Linked DNA regions of Saccharomyces cerevisiae S288C. The protein of the gene in region 3 interacts with the protein of the main gene of each other region in a biochemical or structural test. Each region holds a gene or a part of one and is shown on either strand. Other genes may lie near its edges.

Region 1 (3,214 bases), on a different chromosome or scaffold from region 3:
ATATAGCAATAATATAAAATAGTACTCTATAGGTTATAGGAGTCTTAATACAATGAGCGCGCCATTATCGTTCTGTAAAGTAAATAGTCATTCACATAACGAGCTAATAAAAATCTCCAGATGGCACACATAGTGTATGGCAACATCAATGAGAAGAATAAGGTCTTCGAGGAATAAATTGTTCTAATCATGACAAAAACTACATAACAGAAGACTGAAAGACTGCATTAAAAAAATATTATTAGCATGAACACTAGTCAAAAAATGACACTAAGATTTCATTCCAACACTACATTTTTTCGGAAAACGTTTTATTGAAGTACTGCTTTATGGTCAGCACGTATCGCTTCATATATGATAACCTTACACAGTATCTTTCCGAAAAATCATGAAACGAAGTAACACAGCATCAATTTCTGTGAGAAATAGACAAAGATGTTTCAAAAGTTCCAACATATAGTGAGCATCGTTCATATACCTCGTACAAATCAAATTTGTCTCTTGGAATACCGAAAATTAGCCGCTCAAACACTCTCCGTTGTTAATGACAATTACACCATAGCCGCTGCCGTAGAAAATGCACGGTCTTCCGTGACGAGAAGATTCGGGGGCGAATCGCATAGATCGCTCTTTCTCCTCTTTCTCAATTCTGTCTTATCTGTATTTATAACATGAGCTCATAAACAAAGTCCCTGTTTATATATATTGATGACTTATATATCTTTCGCTTCAGCTTCTTCCCTCATTTCTACTTAATATTATCTTTTGAAATTAGCGCGATCAATTGCATTCTTTTCCACACCACCTTCAAATTTAAGAATTCATATTTGAATCGAACCGTATGTTTTACCTCTCAATAACTTGTTTCATTAATAGCTCCTTCCACAACCACCTTCATCTTCTCTGATTTGAATTATTACCGACATGAATGTTACTCTCCTGAAAATGTTAATTATATCAACTTAACAGGCCTTGAAAGTGAAGTGTTATAGTTTCTCTTCCTTTGTTTTTCCCACTTTCTTTTTTTTATATATATCTTATATTGGTTTAAGCACAGCGGATTGCTTTCTTCTAATACAAGAACTAGAACATAGGTCCACCCGTGTGATGTTGCATTCTGAAATGTTTAGTTATCTCTGTCAGAACAGCGAGGTAACACTTATTTTTGTTACGACCAATCCGTAATTCAAGCGTGGGTATTCATATGACCAGAGATAATAATACAGCGAATACTATTGAAATCGTCCCTTTTTTGTTTAGGAAGAACGGACAAATCGGTCGTCTGCTCGAAATGATTAGTAGTGTGTCACCCGGATCAGCAAAATGACACACACGAAATACGAGGAAAAAGTCGGTCGAAAGGGGCAAATGTTATTATAAGTCCCTCCAGTAGTCTTTTTTTTTTCAAATATTCATCATCAAAGGTTACGAAATCTTTTGAGCTATCTTAAACATTCGTTCTTTTTATCAAATTTCAATTACTAACTTATTTTTTCAAAAAAAATTGCCTCTCCCGGTTTTTAATCATTATTTTTTTCGATTGATTAAGGGGGAAAAGCAAAGAACGAGAAAACTTGGACAGAAGGTTAATACTCTGACAATTTCAAAACGAAGTAAAAAGAAAAATTATCAAATCAACAAAAAGTACCCGTTACAACAAAAAAAATGTCCCAAACTCGTGAAGATTCTGTTTACCTAGCTAAATTAGCTGAACAAGCCGAACGTTATGAAGAAATGGTCGAAAACATGAAGGCCGTTGCTTCATCAGGTCAAGAGTTATCTGTCGAAGAACGGAATCTATTGTCGGTTGCTTACAAGAACGTCATCGGTGCTCGCCGTGCTTCATGGAGAATAGTTTCTTCGATCGAACAAAAAGAAGAATCAAAGGAGAAATCTGAACATCAAGTTGAATTAATCCGTTCTTACCGTTCTAAAATTGAAACTGAATTGACCAAAATCTCTGACGACATTTTATCTGTGTTAGATTCTCATTTAATCCCTTCTGCTACTACTGGTGAGTCTAAAGTATTTTACTATAAGATGAAGGGTGACTACCACCGTTATTTAGCTGAATTTTCCAGCGGAGATGCAAGAGAAAAGGCAACCAACTCCTCTTTGGAGGCTTATAAAACCGCTTCCGAAATCGCCACAACTGAATTGCCTCCAACTCACCCAATTCGTTTAGGTCTAGCTTTGAATTTCTCCGTCTTCTATTACGAAATTCAAAACTCTCCTGATAAGGCTTGCCACTTGGCCAAACAAGCCTTTGATGATGCTATTGCTGAGTTAGATACTTTATCTGAAGAATCATACAAGGATAGCACTTTGATCATGCAATTATTAAGGGACAACTTGACCTTATGGACCTCTGATATTTCTGAATCTGGTCAAGAAGATCAACAACAACAACAACAACAGCAACAGCAACAGCAACAACAGCAACAACAAGCTCCAGCTGAACAAACTCAAGGTGAACCAACCAAATAAGAGCGCTGAGAAATACAAGGGGAAATGAAGATTTACCACTCCAGTTTTCTTGCTAACGAAAATGAATGCAATTCGATTTTGATACTTTTTTTAGGGGAAGAGATAATATCTTCGTCTAATACAAATTCACAAAATTTTCAATTTTACCAACTACAAAATATACAAACCTCTAAAAAAATAGTTTCTTAATATATAACATAAAATAGTTTTTCTGTTACTATTACTTCTATCACTGTTTTCTTCGTGTATTCTTATATTTTGGCTATCGTTCAGAGTTGAGACAATTTGCGAGAGTAATTGAGTAGTAATTTTCGTATGTTTTAAAATAAGTTCCTTCCATTGTATACGCACCTCTTTCTTCTGTTTTCCTTTGAATCTTGATCTACCTTACCTATTGAAGGTGAAGGCATCTTTTCTCATTTGATGAAACAGCGCTCCCTGGGTGTAGGGGGGCGGGGGTATAGTAGCGTAAATCCGCAACGGAAAAATACTTCGAGTGGAAAACTATGACCATTAATATGTATGTCTTACAAGAGAGGACAATAAACAAAGTCAAATAACCACAAGGGATCACAAACGAAAGGATGTCAGTTATTCCTCCAAAATTCTTCAAGATTGCAAATATATCAATTGGCTGCATAGACATTATTGCTGCCCTTTCACAATTGACGTATATTTTCACCAATTTAAACGTCTTCCTCTTGGCAGTTTACGGACTGGCACTCTC
Region 2 (8,202 bases), on a different chromosome or scaffold from region 3:
TCATATGTATATATCGATGACGTGCGTAGCGTAAAAATTTGTATTCGCCAGATAGACCTCTCATAATGAATTGGCATGCTACCTTGTTATTGATAGGAATGCCATTGTTTTTTAGTCTGTCAAGAATGTTTGTGACTTCTGCTTCAAATGCATCTGCAGGTGTACTTCCATTATAATGCAAATTTGCTAGGGTCGTAATGTCATTTACCTCTTGAGTATCAGACTGCATTTTGTTAATGCTTTTGGAAAGAATTTTCATGATATCTGTATAATCAACAGATAAGATGTCTTTAACCCAGGTGGGTAAGAATTGAGATAGAGCAAATAGTTGAAAGGTGTGACATAAGAAGGTGAGTTCGTCATCAGTCATCTGACGTACGGCTTTTCTTGTTGCTGTCGGAATAATATCACCGAGATTCGAATTTTGTAAAAATTTGATGTATATTTTAACCCAATTTAGAAAGTCATTAGGTGAGGTTAAGATTGGCGGTGGTCTGACATGTTGATTAGTGGATGTCATATTAGACTTTGCTGAGGATGAATCAGGAAATGAATTACCTGACTCAGGTGACGGGGTGTTCAAATGTGTTCCAACATATTGTGGATATTGTGTAAACTGTGATTGTGCTCCAGGTGGAGCGTACATAGGTGACATTTGATAAGGTGGATACGGCATCAAAGATGGGTGCCCGTATACTGGCCAACCAGAAATATTGGCTTGTTGGGGAGTCATCATTCGCTGCTGTGGGTACGGCCCATTTTGTGGCAATGGTACTTGAGCAGCTTGAGGAGAGGCATGATGATGGTTCTCTGGAACAGCAGCTGAGGGAGGTGTTGTTGGCTGTTGAGAATTAGCCTGAGTGAAAACCTTCTCACATTCTTCTGTTTTGGAAGCTGAAATGTCTAACGGATCTTGAGTTGTTTGGACTTCTTTAGAAGTAACCGAAGCACAGGCGCTACCATGAGAAATGGGTGAATGTTGAGATAATTGTTGGGATTCCATTGTTGATAAAGGCTATAATATTAGGTATACAGAATATACTAGAAGTTCTCCTCGAGGGTCAGGAATCCCCATAATGGAATCTATATTTCTATATACCAATATTACGATTATTCCTCATTCTGTTTTATATGTTTCATTATCCTATTACATTATCAATCCTTGCACTTCAGCTTCCTCTAACTTCGATGACAGCTTCTCATAACTTATGTCATCATCTTAACACCGTATATGATAATATATTGATAATATAACTATTAGTTGATAGACGATAGTGGATTTTTATTCCAACACTATGTGTGTATTGTGTGTGCGTGTAATATAATCATTTCTAGTCATCTCTAGTCAAAGTAACTTATAAAAGCCTAAAAAAGGAGGATTTAACATGAATTGTCGGTCCTATAGTGTAGTGGTTATCACTTTCGGTTTTGATCCGGACAACCCCGGTTCGAATCCGGGTAGGACCTCTTTTTATTTTTACTCTAACAAATCAACATTGATATTTTTTGTTGATGTGTTAGAGTGGAGCCAACGATGCTCTTAAGATATACACTTTAGTACTTTTGAAGCTCTTACAGTTTTTTGATGTCGGAGAAGGCTTATACATATTGTTATTTTCCCTCTACAGGAAAGAAGGTGAACGTTTAGTTTTTATCAAGGCGCCGAGTAAATTTTATAATATCGAGGCGAGGGAAAAACAAAGCAACGAGAAAGGAAGCTCAAAGTTGGGATTTACATCATTTCTTTAAAAAGCATCATTGGCTTCTCTCCAATTGTTCAATAAACGCAGACTAATAGAAATTGAAGTCATTTTCCGGAGAAATATAAAATATTTTCTGCAACTAAGCTATACTCGATTTCTTTTAAGTTTCTCCAGAACCAATAAAAAGTAATATCTTAAACTGTTTCTTTCTCATTTTTTCCCCGAATTCCATTAAAGAAGATAAGAAACAAGTCTAAGTGCTACTATATCTGATGTCTGAACAGAATTCAGTAGTAAATGCTGAAAAAGGGGATGGCGAAATATCTTCAAATGTAGAGACTGCTTCTTCAGTCAATCCGTCTGTGAAACCACAGAATGCTATTAAAGAAGAAGCTAAAGAGACAAATGGTGAAGATCAAAAATGCAAAGGGCCAGAAAACGCTGGCAGTACGGCAGAAACAAAAGAAACAAGTAACGACGCTACCAACGGAATGAAAACGCCCGAAGAAACGGAAGATACAAATGACAAACGCCATGACGATGAAGGTGAAGATGGAGATGAAGATGAAGATGAAGATGAAGATGAAGATGAAGACAATGGGGACGAGGATGATGAGGACGTGGATAGCAGTAGTTCCGAAACCAGTTCCGAAGACGGGGAAGATTCTGAATCAGTCTCAGGGGAAAGTACTGAGAGTAGCTCTGGAGAAGATGAAGAATCTGATGAAAGCGATGGAAATACATCAAACAGCTCCTCTGGTGATGAAAGCGGGTCAGAAGAAGAAGAAGAAGAAGAAGAAGAAGAAGAAGAAGAGGAAAATGCTGGCGAACCAGCTATCGCTCATCAAGATAGTGTTCCCACCAACGATTCTACTGCCCCAAGGTCTACCCATACGAGGAACATATCACTATCTTCAAATGGTTCGAACACAAACTCAACCATAATTTTAGTGAAAACTACGTTGGAGACAATTTTAAATGATAAGGACATTAAAAAGAATTCGAATGCTCAGAAGGCTATCGAAAGGACATTACAAAAATTTAAGGAATTTGATCCGCAAACCACGAATAACCCACATTACGTGGATTCAATACTAGTATTCGAAGCACTAAGGGCAAGCTGTCGTACCAAATCCTCCAAAGTTCAAAGTTTGGCTTTAGATTGCCTGTCAAAATTGTTTTCTTTTAGATCGCTAGACGAGACCCTGTTAGTGAATCCACCCGATTCTTTAGCCTCTAATGATCAACGACAAGATGCTGCCGATGGAATAACGCCGCCTCCAAAACAAAAAATTATAGACGCTGCAATTGATACTATTTCAGACTGTTTTCAAGGTGAAGGCACTGATGACCGTGTGGAACTACAAATCGTTAGAGCTTTATCTAGTTGCATTTTAGAAGAGGATTCAAGTTCTTTATGCCACGGTGCTTCCTTGCTAAAGGCTATCAGAACAATCTACAACGTTTTCGTCTTTTCGTTGAACCCATCCAATCAAGGTATTGCACAGGCGACCTTGACACAAATTATTAGTTCGGTGTATGATAAAATCGATCTCAAACAAAGTACCTCTTCAGCAGTATCCTTATCGACAAAAAATCATCAACAACAATCCGCCATAGAACTTTCCGAGGCTTCTGAAAATGCAGAAACGCCGGCTCCTTTAACTCTGGAAAATATGGATAAGTTGAATGACGATGAGGAAAGACTAATGGACGCTCAACAGCCTGATTCTATCGCCATAACTAACCAAGATCTAGCTGTTAAAGATGCGTTCTTAGTGTTTAGAGTCATGGCGAAAATATGTGCTAAACCTTTGGAAACAGAACTCGACATGAGGTCACATGCCGTCAGGTCAAAGCTTTTATCTCTTCACATCATTTACTCTATTATCAAAGATCATATTGACGTATTCCTTTCCCACAACATTTTTCTACCAGGAAAGGAGCGTGTGTGCTTTATCGATTCAATTAGACAATATTTACGTCTTGTTTTATCAAGGAATGCTGCCTCGCCTCTAGCTCCAGTTTTCGAGGTTACTTTAGAAATTATGTGGCTATTGATTGCTAATTTGAGAGCAGATTTCGTGAAGGAAATTCCAGTTTTTTTAACAGAAATCTACTTCCCCATTTCAGAATTAACCACTTCCACCTCCCAACAAAAGAGATATTTTTTAAGTGTTATTCAACGAATTTGTAACGACCCAAGAACTTTAGTTGAATTTTACTTGAATTATGATTGTAACCCTGGAATGCCAAATGTAATGGAAATAACTGTTGATTATTTGACAAGATTGGCTTTAACTAGGGTGGAAATTACTCAGACTCAAAGATCATACTACGATGAACAAATATCAAAATCCCTGTCCACCTACAATTTCTCACAATTGCCCCTTTTGACTTCTTCCAACTTGTCTTCTAGTCCTGATGTTGGTCAAGTCAATTTACTTTTTCCACTTGATTTTGCTCTCAAAATGGTGTCACTAAATTGCATTGTGTCAGTTTTGCGTTCCTTAAGCTCATGGGCTCACAAAGCTTTAAATCCAAACACACACACTGCTAATAAGGTATTACTAAACACAACATCTTCAGCTCGTCAAGAATCTAGATCATCTTTGAGTAACGACGTAAGGTCTTCTATTATGACAAGTAATGATGACTTCAAACCAACATATGAAGACGAAGAAAGCAGATCATTGAGCAGTCAAAACATTGACGCAGACGACCCCACACAATTTGAAAATTTGAAACTAAGGAAAACTGCTTTATCGGAATGTATTGCTATTTTCAACAATAAACCCAAGAAAGCTATTCCAGTACTTATTAAAAAAGGATTTTTGAAAGATGATTCTCCAATTTCCATTGCCAAGTGGTTATTAGAAACAGAAGGCCTCGACATGGCCGCTGTTGGGGATTATCTAGGCGAAGGAGACGACAAGAACATCGCTATAATGCACGCATTTGTTGATGAGTTTGACTTCACTGGTATGTCCATTGTTGACGCATTAAGGTCATTTTTACAAAGTTTCAGATTGCCTGGAGAAGGTCAAAAAATTGACAGATTCATGCTGAAATTTGCGGAAAGATTTGTGGACCAAAACCCCGGAGTCTTTTCAAAGGCGGATACTGCATATGTGCTTTCGTATTCTTTGATCATGTTGAATACTGATTTACATTCGTCACAAATCAAAAATAAAATGTCTTTACAAGAGTTTTTAGAAAACAACGAAGGTATTGACAACGGAAGAGATTTACCAAGAGACTTCTTGGAAGGTTTGTTCAACGAAATTGCTAACAATGAAATCAAGTTAATTTCTGAACAGCATCAGGCAATGCTTTCAGGTGATACCAATCTTGTCCAACAACAGCAATCTGCTTTCAACTTCTTTAATTCTCGTGATTTGACAAGAGAGGCATATAATCAAGTCTCAAAAGAAATTTCATCTAAAACGGAATTAGTCTTTAAGAATTTAAACAAAAATAAAGGAGGCCCAGACGTCTATTATGCTGCTTCCCACGTTGAGCATGTTAAATCAATTTTCGAGACACTATGGATGTCCTTTTTAGCAGCTCTAACCCCCCCATTTAAGGATTATGATGACATTGACACAACCAATAAGTGTTTAGAAGGCTTGAAAATATCAATTAAAATTGCTTCTACTTTTAGAATCAATGATGCTAGAACCTCCTTTGTAGGTGCGTTAGTCCAATTTTGTAACCTTCAAAACCTTGAAGAAATCAAAGTTAAAAATGTCAATGCAATGGTAATTCTTCTTGAAGTCGCGTTATCAGAAGGAAATTACTTGGAGGGATCGTGGAAGGACATTTTGCTGGTCGTGTCTCAAATGGAAAGACTACAATTGATATCCAAAGGTATCGACAGAGATACGGTTCCAGATGTTGCACAAGCTCGTGTTGCAAACCCTAGAGTTTCTTACGAATCATCAAGATCCAATAATACATCTTTCTTTGATGTTTGGGGCAAGAAGGCAACTCCCACAGAATTGGCTCAAGAAAAACACCATAATCAAACCTTATCACCCGAAATCTCTAAATTCATTTCCTCCAGTGAATTAGTCGTTTTGATGGACAATATATTTACCAAAAGTTCCGAGTTATCAGGTAATGCTATCGTTGATTTTATCAAAGCTTTAACCGCTGTATCTTTAGAAGAAATTGAATCATCTGAAAATGCTTCCACACCAAGAATGTTTTCCTTGCAAAAAATGGTCGATGTATGTTACTACAATATGGATCGTATCAAACTAGAATGGACGCCGCTTTGGGCTGTTATGGGAAAAGCTTTCAACAAGATTGCTACAAACTCTAACTTAGCAGTAGTATTTTTCGCTATCGATTCCCTGCGTCAATTGTCTATGAGATTTTTAGATATTGAGGAATTATCAGGTTTTGAATTTCAACATGATTTTTTAAAACCTTTTGAATACACGGTTCAAAATAGTGGCAACACTGAAGTTCAAGAAATGATTATTGAGTGTTTTAGGAACTTCATATTGACAAAATCGGAAAGTATCAAATCTGGCTGGAAGCCTATTCTTGAATCCTTACAATATACGGCTCGCTCAAGCACTGAATCCATTGTATTAAAGACGCAATTGCTGGTTAGCAATGATATTGTGACAAATCACTTCGAAAACGTATTCTCTCAAGAAGATGCCTTTTCTGAGTTAGTTGGTGTCTTCAGAGAAATCACCAAAAATAAGAGATTCCAAAAGCTATCTCTACATGCTTTGGAGTCTCTAAGAAAGATGACTCAGAACGTCGCAGACATCTGTTTTTACAATGAAAATAAGACTGAAGAAGAAAGAAAACATAACGATGCTTTACTTCGTGGGAAAGACATATTCCAGGATGTGTGGTTCCCTATGTTATTCTGCTTCAATGATACGATCATGACAGCTGAAGACTTAGAAGTTAGATCACGTGCATTAAACTATATGTTCGATGCCCTAGTGGCATATGGTGGTAAATTCAATGATGATTTCTGGGAAAAGATTTGTAAGAAGTTACTATTTCCTATTTTCGGTGTATTATCCAAACATTGGGAAGTCAACCAATTCAATAGTCATGATGATTTAAGTGTTTGGCTTTCGACCACGTTAATTCAAGCCTTAAGGAACTTGATTGCCCTTTTTACGCATTACTTTGAATCGTTGAACAGAATGCTCGATGGATTTTTGGGTCTGCTGGTATCCTGTATTTGTCAAGAAAATGACACTATTGCTAGAATTGGGAGATCCTGCCTGCAACAATTGATATTGCAAAACGTATCTAAATTCAATGAGTACCATTGGAATCAAATAGGTGACGTATTCGATAAATTGTTTGATTTAACCACTGCTAATGAATTGTTCGATTATGATCCGTTACAGCAAGGAAGAAAATCATCTGTATCTCATCACCAAACAACTAATGATACCAGCCAACACTCAGATGATGATAGCAACGACAGAAGGGAGAACGATTCTAATATCAGTGAGACGGTCGAAAGAGCGCATCAAGAAGAATCCAGCGAAGACGTTGGTGGTGACATGGTTGAAACACTCAATGGGCAAACTAAGCTTAATAATGGCAATTCCGTTCCGACGGTAAAGGACGAATTGAATCCAAAGCCCGCTAGTCTAAGTATCCCCAAGAAAACTAAGCACATGAAACGAAACGAAAGTAACGAAGATATACGTAGGAGAATAAACATCAAGAATTCTATTGTTGTCAAATGTGTTTTACAGCTTTTGATGATAGAGCTGCTCAACGAATTATTCGAGAACGAAGATTTTGCCCACTGTATCCCTTACAAGGAAGCCATTAGAATTACAAGATTGTTGGAGAAATCGTACGAATTTTCTCGTGACTTTAATGAAGATTATGGGTTAAGAACAAGACTAGTAGAGGCTCGTGTAGTTGATAAAATACCAAACCTGTTGAAACAAGAAACGAGTGCTGCTGCAGTTCTCCTTGACATTATGTTTCAGTTGTATCTGAACGATGATGAGAAGAAGGCTGATTTAATAACTCGTCTGATCACCATTTGCATCCAGGTCGTAGAGGGTTATGTTTCTTTGGATGATAGAACCATGGAACGTAGTATCAATGCCTGGCGTTCAGTGATAGTTGAAATATTACAAGGTTACTACGAATTTGATGATGAAGACTTTAGACTATACTGTCCTGCTATGTATGCTCTGGTGATTCAAATATTAGATAAGAGCGTTCCAACGGAGTTGAGACATGCTATAAAACAATTTCTAAGCAGAGTTGGTGAATTATACCTTTCTACTGATTAAGGCTTTGTTGAATGGTCCAGCAGATTAAAATATGCTTAGTTGTAGAACACAGAAAAAATGAGAAGGTTGATATACTTTTACTCATATTAATCCTGATTTAGTGGCGGTGATCCTTTTTAGATTCGTTTAATTCATAAACAAGGTACATCATATAGCAATAACAAATATGTAAACTATGTAGAAAGACTTATCAAGTT
Region 3 (5,656 bases):
ACTTAGCCAATTGAAAGATTTGATGGCCTGGAAAATAAACGTTGAGTTTGTTAATGGAGTAATAGCAGATCATATCGATGTCCCTGAAAAGATTATAAAAAAATGCTCTCCCTCAGTTCCAAAAGAAGAACTAGTTGATCTTTATTTGAAGGAAATCGCGAAAACATACGATGTGCCATATAGTAAGCTGGAGAATTCCTTATCTTCGTCGTCTTCTAACATTTCTTCAGACTTTAGTGACCCCTCGGGAGATATCGAGGATAATGACGAAGAAAAGCCTATTTTAGCCTTAGATAATGACGATAATGACAATGCAGATGCTAAACACCCTATCACTGTTAAAAAGCCTAGGCAGAATAGTGAAAATATCAAGAACGAGCTCAAGATTCCGAAAGATATCAAAAAGGAAGTGATCGAAAAGAAACAATCAGAAAAGAAAACTACAAAAAGAAAGACTAAGAAGGAGCAAGAAAATGATGAACTAGATGAGTTGAAGAAACGGTTTGACGCTTTACGCAGAAAATAAGATAATAATTTATATGTATGGTTAATTAACCACATATTTATTTTACTCTCATTCTTTTACCTTGCTTTTTCTGAGTCAGCTGCTCTATTATTCTCGGCAATAAATAAATATATGTATATTCCTTTTACTAAAATTCCAATTTTTTTGTTCTCCGGACATTTGCAAATTGTTTTTCCAGTTCTGTCACAGCTATTTTCCTTCTCAGCTATATATACCCTGTGTAATAAGTTGAAATTGGTCGTATATTCTGGTGTAAATACTACCCAAAGATTTACCTATCAAGAAATTTTCTACGAAGTCATCAACTTCTTTTTCTGATAAGTCCAATTGGAACCTTTGTCGTAGTTGTACACTTGTTTGTTCGCCAGCATCGAAACAAGGCTGCATATTGTCCTTTTGCATAATCTCACACATTGATACGATTTGATCAGCATACTTTCTCAGAGCCTTGAACGAACTTTTAGTTAGTTCAACAAACTTTTTAAACGCTTCTCCCTCTACTCCGCCTAGCAGTTCAATATATTCGTAAGTTAATTTGAATGGTGCGGCCTCAAAGCCCACTGAGCCGGGTGAATTTGATAGCATAAATCCAAAATCGATGTGACTTACATGGCCTTCGTTATCGATCATAATGTTACCGTTGTGTCTATCTTTAACCTGCAAGAGATAGCAAATGACAGAATATGCGGCTAACGAAGAAGCAAAGTTGTCTTGTGCTCTTCTATACTTAAATCCATTAGGATTACCAAAAGCTCTAAGGAAGTGATCATTCAAAGAGGCAATACCACCCTTGTCATCTAGTTCTGCATCTTCAATCATTTTTTTGGTTAAAGCCTTTTTAATACTATGCACAGACATAGCATTTGTGATGGTCTCCACAAGTCCCGTATTCGCACTAGTAATTAAAATTTTCATTCTTTTAACCCAAACGTCAACTTTTTCTTTAACCCAAATATTGGCCATCGCTTGAATCATCTGGTATGCAAACGCCTCCTGTCTCAAATCATCACCCGTCTTGGCGATTACAGAACATAAATCCCAGTTTTCGAAATGGCCATATTCCGAAGTTTTACGTATCCTCTCTTTCTTGGTAGCCCAATCTTCACCTAGATATGAAGTGTCAATACCACCCGTCATTAAATCGTTTTCCAATTTTCTCTCACCTGCCATTCCATGAAGGGCTTCCAAATCATGGTAACCAAATTTATCCTGCACCTCCTTCATTGATGAAATAATTTGAGCGCGGATTTGTTTGGTACTTTCTGATAACTGTTGTGGCGACTTATCCAATTGTGCTAACATAACAGCTGAAACTCTCATCTGGTCTGCTAAAGCGTCAGTTTGGCTATGTATATTTTTGCTATTAATTCCATTCTCGATGAGTACTTCGTCCAAGTTTGAGCCAAAGTTCAACTCTGGGCTTCTGTCTTGACTATCATCAGGTAAAATTGGAACATTTGCGGCACTCTGTATTACTAAAGCATTTCTATACGCTTCGTCATCCGTTCTGTTCCTGACTTTTACCATTGACATATCACCTAAATCTTCCTCTTTATTGACTTCAGTCCTAACATGAGCTGTGGACGCTGAATCACTTCTTGAGGTACTGGATAGACCTTCATTGCGGGAGGCCCCGTTGTTGAACGAGTTACTATCATATACCGAAGATCGAGTGTTGTTGCTAGTAAGAGTACTTTCATTTCTATTTTCGTTGTTTTCTTTTCTATTCATGTAATTTAAATCAAATATCAAGCCTCCCTGATTACCACTGATCTTCTTTAATAATCTTTCATTGGTTTCACTTGTTGGGTCAAAATCAAATTCGTCTCTCAAGTATTCTATCAGGAGTAAATATGGAACTTTTTCTGCAGAGTTCAAAACTTGTGCCTCATTAGCAGTAATGGTCACTAATTTATGTAACTTTCCTTTTTTATTTGGAGGCAATAAAGTGGGGATATCTACTTCCGCTGGTAGGTCCCTGTTTAATAGAAACAACTCGGCTCGTAAGGCACTCAATCTAGCTTCTGTCGGTACTCGAGCTAGCCTTTGAGATATTGTTTCTAGCGCAATGGCAAATTGTGTCTCGCAACGAAAATAATTTGCTTTTAACATTTTTATTTTTGAAGTGGTCGATAATTGCGACAAGTCAATTTCTTGACTCAAAGAAGAATTCGCTTTTTTACTGTTTTTGAATGCCTGGCGCGAAAGGGGTTGGGAATTGGTCCTGTTTAACTTAGGTGTCCCTTCTAAAGAAGCAGATGAAGCAGAAGAAGTCCTTGGTTGAATATTATGCAGATCTGGCATAGAACTGGTGAAGTGATCAGAGTTTAAAGCGTCCGCGTCCTCCTCCGTTTCACCACCAGTTTCATCTTCATTGTTACCAATCTCATTATTTTCATCATTACGTCCCTTTGGAGAAATATAATCACCTTTATTTCCATCGAGAGCCTTTGCGGTATTTGAAATGCTTCCGTCCCTGTTTATATTTTTGCCATCATATGTCCTATGAACGTATGAATTATCCAAATACTTAGGTTTACGTTTTGGGAGTTTGATTGAAGATGAGATTCTTTCTTCAAAGACCTGGTTACCTATATCATCCACAATGTCGAAATCCAATTTTACCTCACTATGTCTGGATTTCCTGAAGGATGCATCTTCTTTAGTTTTTATTGGATCTATTAAATCTATTGGAGAAGTCGGAGTTGAACTGCGATTTGAGCTAACTCTTTTGGATCTGGAAGTTTTCTTGTTTAGTAGGGTATTTTTCAAGGTCATGTTCTTGGTAAAATCTTTCATTGCACTTCTAGCCAACTTAAAAACGAAAGCTTTTTGTCTTCTACCTTGAGATTCCACTAATGGTTTGGTCACTTCGCTTAATTGGGGGAATGCTATAGCCGACATTATCATAGAGGAAAGAACTAAGGCCGGTGCAACGTTTTCATGTATTTTAACATTTTTATCGCTACCTGAACTTGTGTTAAAGAGATTGGTTTGTAAGTTGTTTAAGACTCTTCTAGCCACTTGGAAGCCATAAGAAGCGGGGTCAGTAGATAAATCCGTTAGTAACGCTTGTAACTGCCAAAACGTCAGTAGTGCAAAATGAGGGTTTTCCGCCCTCAACCTTAATAGTAAATCTTCTAAAGCCATTGATTCTGTCTCCATGGTGACGAGGACCTGTACTAGTTGGGGAATATAGAACTGTAGTTCGCTGTGAGGAAATGTGGCCAATTTCTGACATAAATAGTAATGTATACCAATATTTTCGGAGTGTTTGCACAGTAACTCCACACAATTGTGAAGGGTGAATTCACTAGAGTTGATCAGTTTCAGTAATTGTTCATTTTTTTTTAGTTCAATAGTATCATCAAAGCTTTTCTTTGAACTGGATGCTTTATGCATAGTGAAGAGAACGAATGCTTAATGAAAACGAACGCTCGCAATGAAGAAAAATGATAAGCTAATTGAAAATTTCTAGCAGGGTCCAGGGATCTTCTTAATATAGAAGTTGGGCCTAAAAAATGAAGGGTCTTCAGTATAAGATCTTGTACTTTTAGTTTTTCTCTAACGAATTTTTTGGTAGGGTTCTTTTGTTTCAGTGCAATAACACGAAAATGACAACAGTTGAACATATCGTGAATAATGACCCTGTTATACACGCTATCAAGTACGTAAAGGATAATATGGAAAATTTATTATAGATTTGAGTACTATCGCTGGCCGAAGGTGACAATGGCCTTATGATGTAACATACTATGAATAGTGAATAATAAGTGGTGATATTATACATAAAGTTTGGGGCAATCCCTCAAAATCTCTACAGGCTATTTTGATTAATGAAACGTCTATTTTTTTATTTTTTTCTATTTTGAAGGCATGCAAGAGGTTCTGTGACTATGCAACAGCAGCCCAGAATTTCTCCCATAAATTCTTAGGCTCGTCGTCTTCCCAAATAATTGCTTCGATTTCTCTTCTGTCGGAATCGATGTCAATATCTTCTAGCTTCCAAATAAATCTGCATTTGTAGTATATCTGGCAACCAATGAACACAACGGCTAAAAGAATCAAGGAGATGTAAGATGTGAAAAACTCAGAAACTTTGAACGGACAGAACGCTTGGAACCCTTGGATGAATATGATGACGGTGACAAAAAAGGCTGCGTAGTAGGCACCATAAGGCATCAATTTGGCCTTGAAGGGCAGATCATCACGAGAAATACCACGGTGCTTTAAAGCTTGCATGAACCTAATATGTGCCAAAGAGATGAATAACCAGGCGCATAACCCAGCCAAAGTGGAAATGTTGATCAACCAGTTAAATGCAGTGTTTGCATTGTTATTGACAACCAGGAATGCCAAAAGACCCAATGCAGCAGTGCAAACAACACCGAGATATGGAACACCCTGTCTGGTGACGTATCCAAATTGCTTTGGTGCGTTACCAGTCCTAGCTAAAGAGTAAAGAACACGGGAACCAACGTAAACATTCGAATTAGCGGCAGATACAACAGTAATCAACACCACGGCGTTGAAAATATCTGGAAGAGCATAAGTACCAGCGTTTTGAATGGAAATAACGAAGGGTGATGATGCAATAACAGCAGAACTAGCAGATAAACGGGAATCGTTGTATGGAACCAGTAGACCAATAAAGAACAAAGACATAATATAGAATAGTACGATTCTAAAGACGACTTTATTGATAGCTCTTGGAACGGTCTTTCTTGGGTTAGCCGCTTCACCAGCGGTGATCCCAACCAGTTCAGTACCTTGGTACGTAAATGCAGCATTAATCAAGGAGGAGACCCATCCGAGAAAACGGCCTTCACTTTTATCACTGGAGATGATGCCTGGCCCCCAGGCTCCTGGATTTCTCCAGTACCTGAAACCGATAGGGCCCTGGTGGGATCCACCGCAGACAATAATCAAAGCATATATCAAGTAACCCATAATGGCTAAAACTTTAACAGAGGCCACCCAGAACTCAAATTCACCATAAACTTTGACAGGGAAAAAATTCATCAAAGTAATAATTACCCAGAATATCGCAATCCAGGCCGCTAATGGAACTTTATCTGTCCAGTATTCAATAACTTGGCCAATGACAGAAACCTCCACAGCATAAGTAAT

The links. The genes of interacting proteins can lie anywhere in the genome.
Region 1: the proteins of PIK1 (region 3) and BMH2 form a complex in vitro, tested with the Saccharomyces cerevisiae proteins (one study listed by BioGRID).
Region 2: the proteins of PIK1 (region 3) and SEC7 form a complex in vitro, tested with the Saccharomyces cerevisiae proteins (one study listed by BioGRID).

What each region holds. Positions count from the first base shown.
Region 1 is NC_001136.10:651,942-655,155, forward strand, and holds BMH2 (14-3-3 family protein BMH2), read left to right. Parts: upstream 1-1,665; coding exon 1,666-2,487; downstream 2,488-3,214. Other genes in the region: TVP15 (Tvp15p), read left to right, coding at 3,072-3,214.
Region 2 is NC_001136.10:795,996-804,197, reverse strand, and holds SEC7 (Arf family guanine nucleotide exchange factor SEC7), read left to right. Parts: upstream 1-1,975; coding exon 1,976-8,005; downstream 8,006-8,202. Other genes in the region: YDR170W-A (gag protein), read right to left, coding at 1-1,003. UniProt on the Saccharomyces cerevisiae protein: Guanine exchange factor that acts as an activator of ARF1 at the trans-Golgi network and is thus involved in vesicular budding and traffic between compartments of the Golgi apparatus.
Region 3 is NC_001146.8:139,150-144,805, reverse strand, and holds PIK1 (1-phosphatidylinositol 4-kinase), read right to left. Parts: upstream 3,929-5,656; coding exon 728-3,928; downstream 1-727. Other genes in the region: IST1 (Ist1p), read left to right, coding at 1-526; LYP1 (lysine permease), read right to left, coding at 4,421-5,656. UniProt on the Saccharomyces cerevisiae protein: Acts on phosphatidylinositol (PI) in the first committed step in the production of the second messenger inositol 1,4,5,-trisphosphate. PIK1 is part of a nuclear phosphoinositide cycle and could control cytokinesis through the actin cytoskeleton.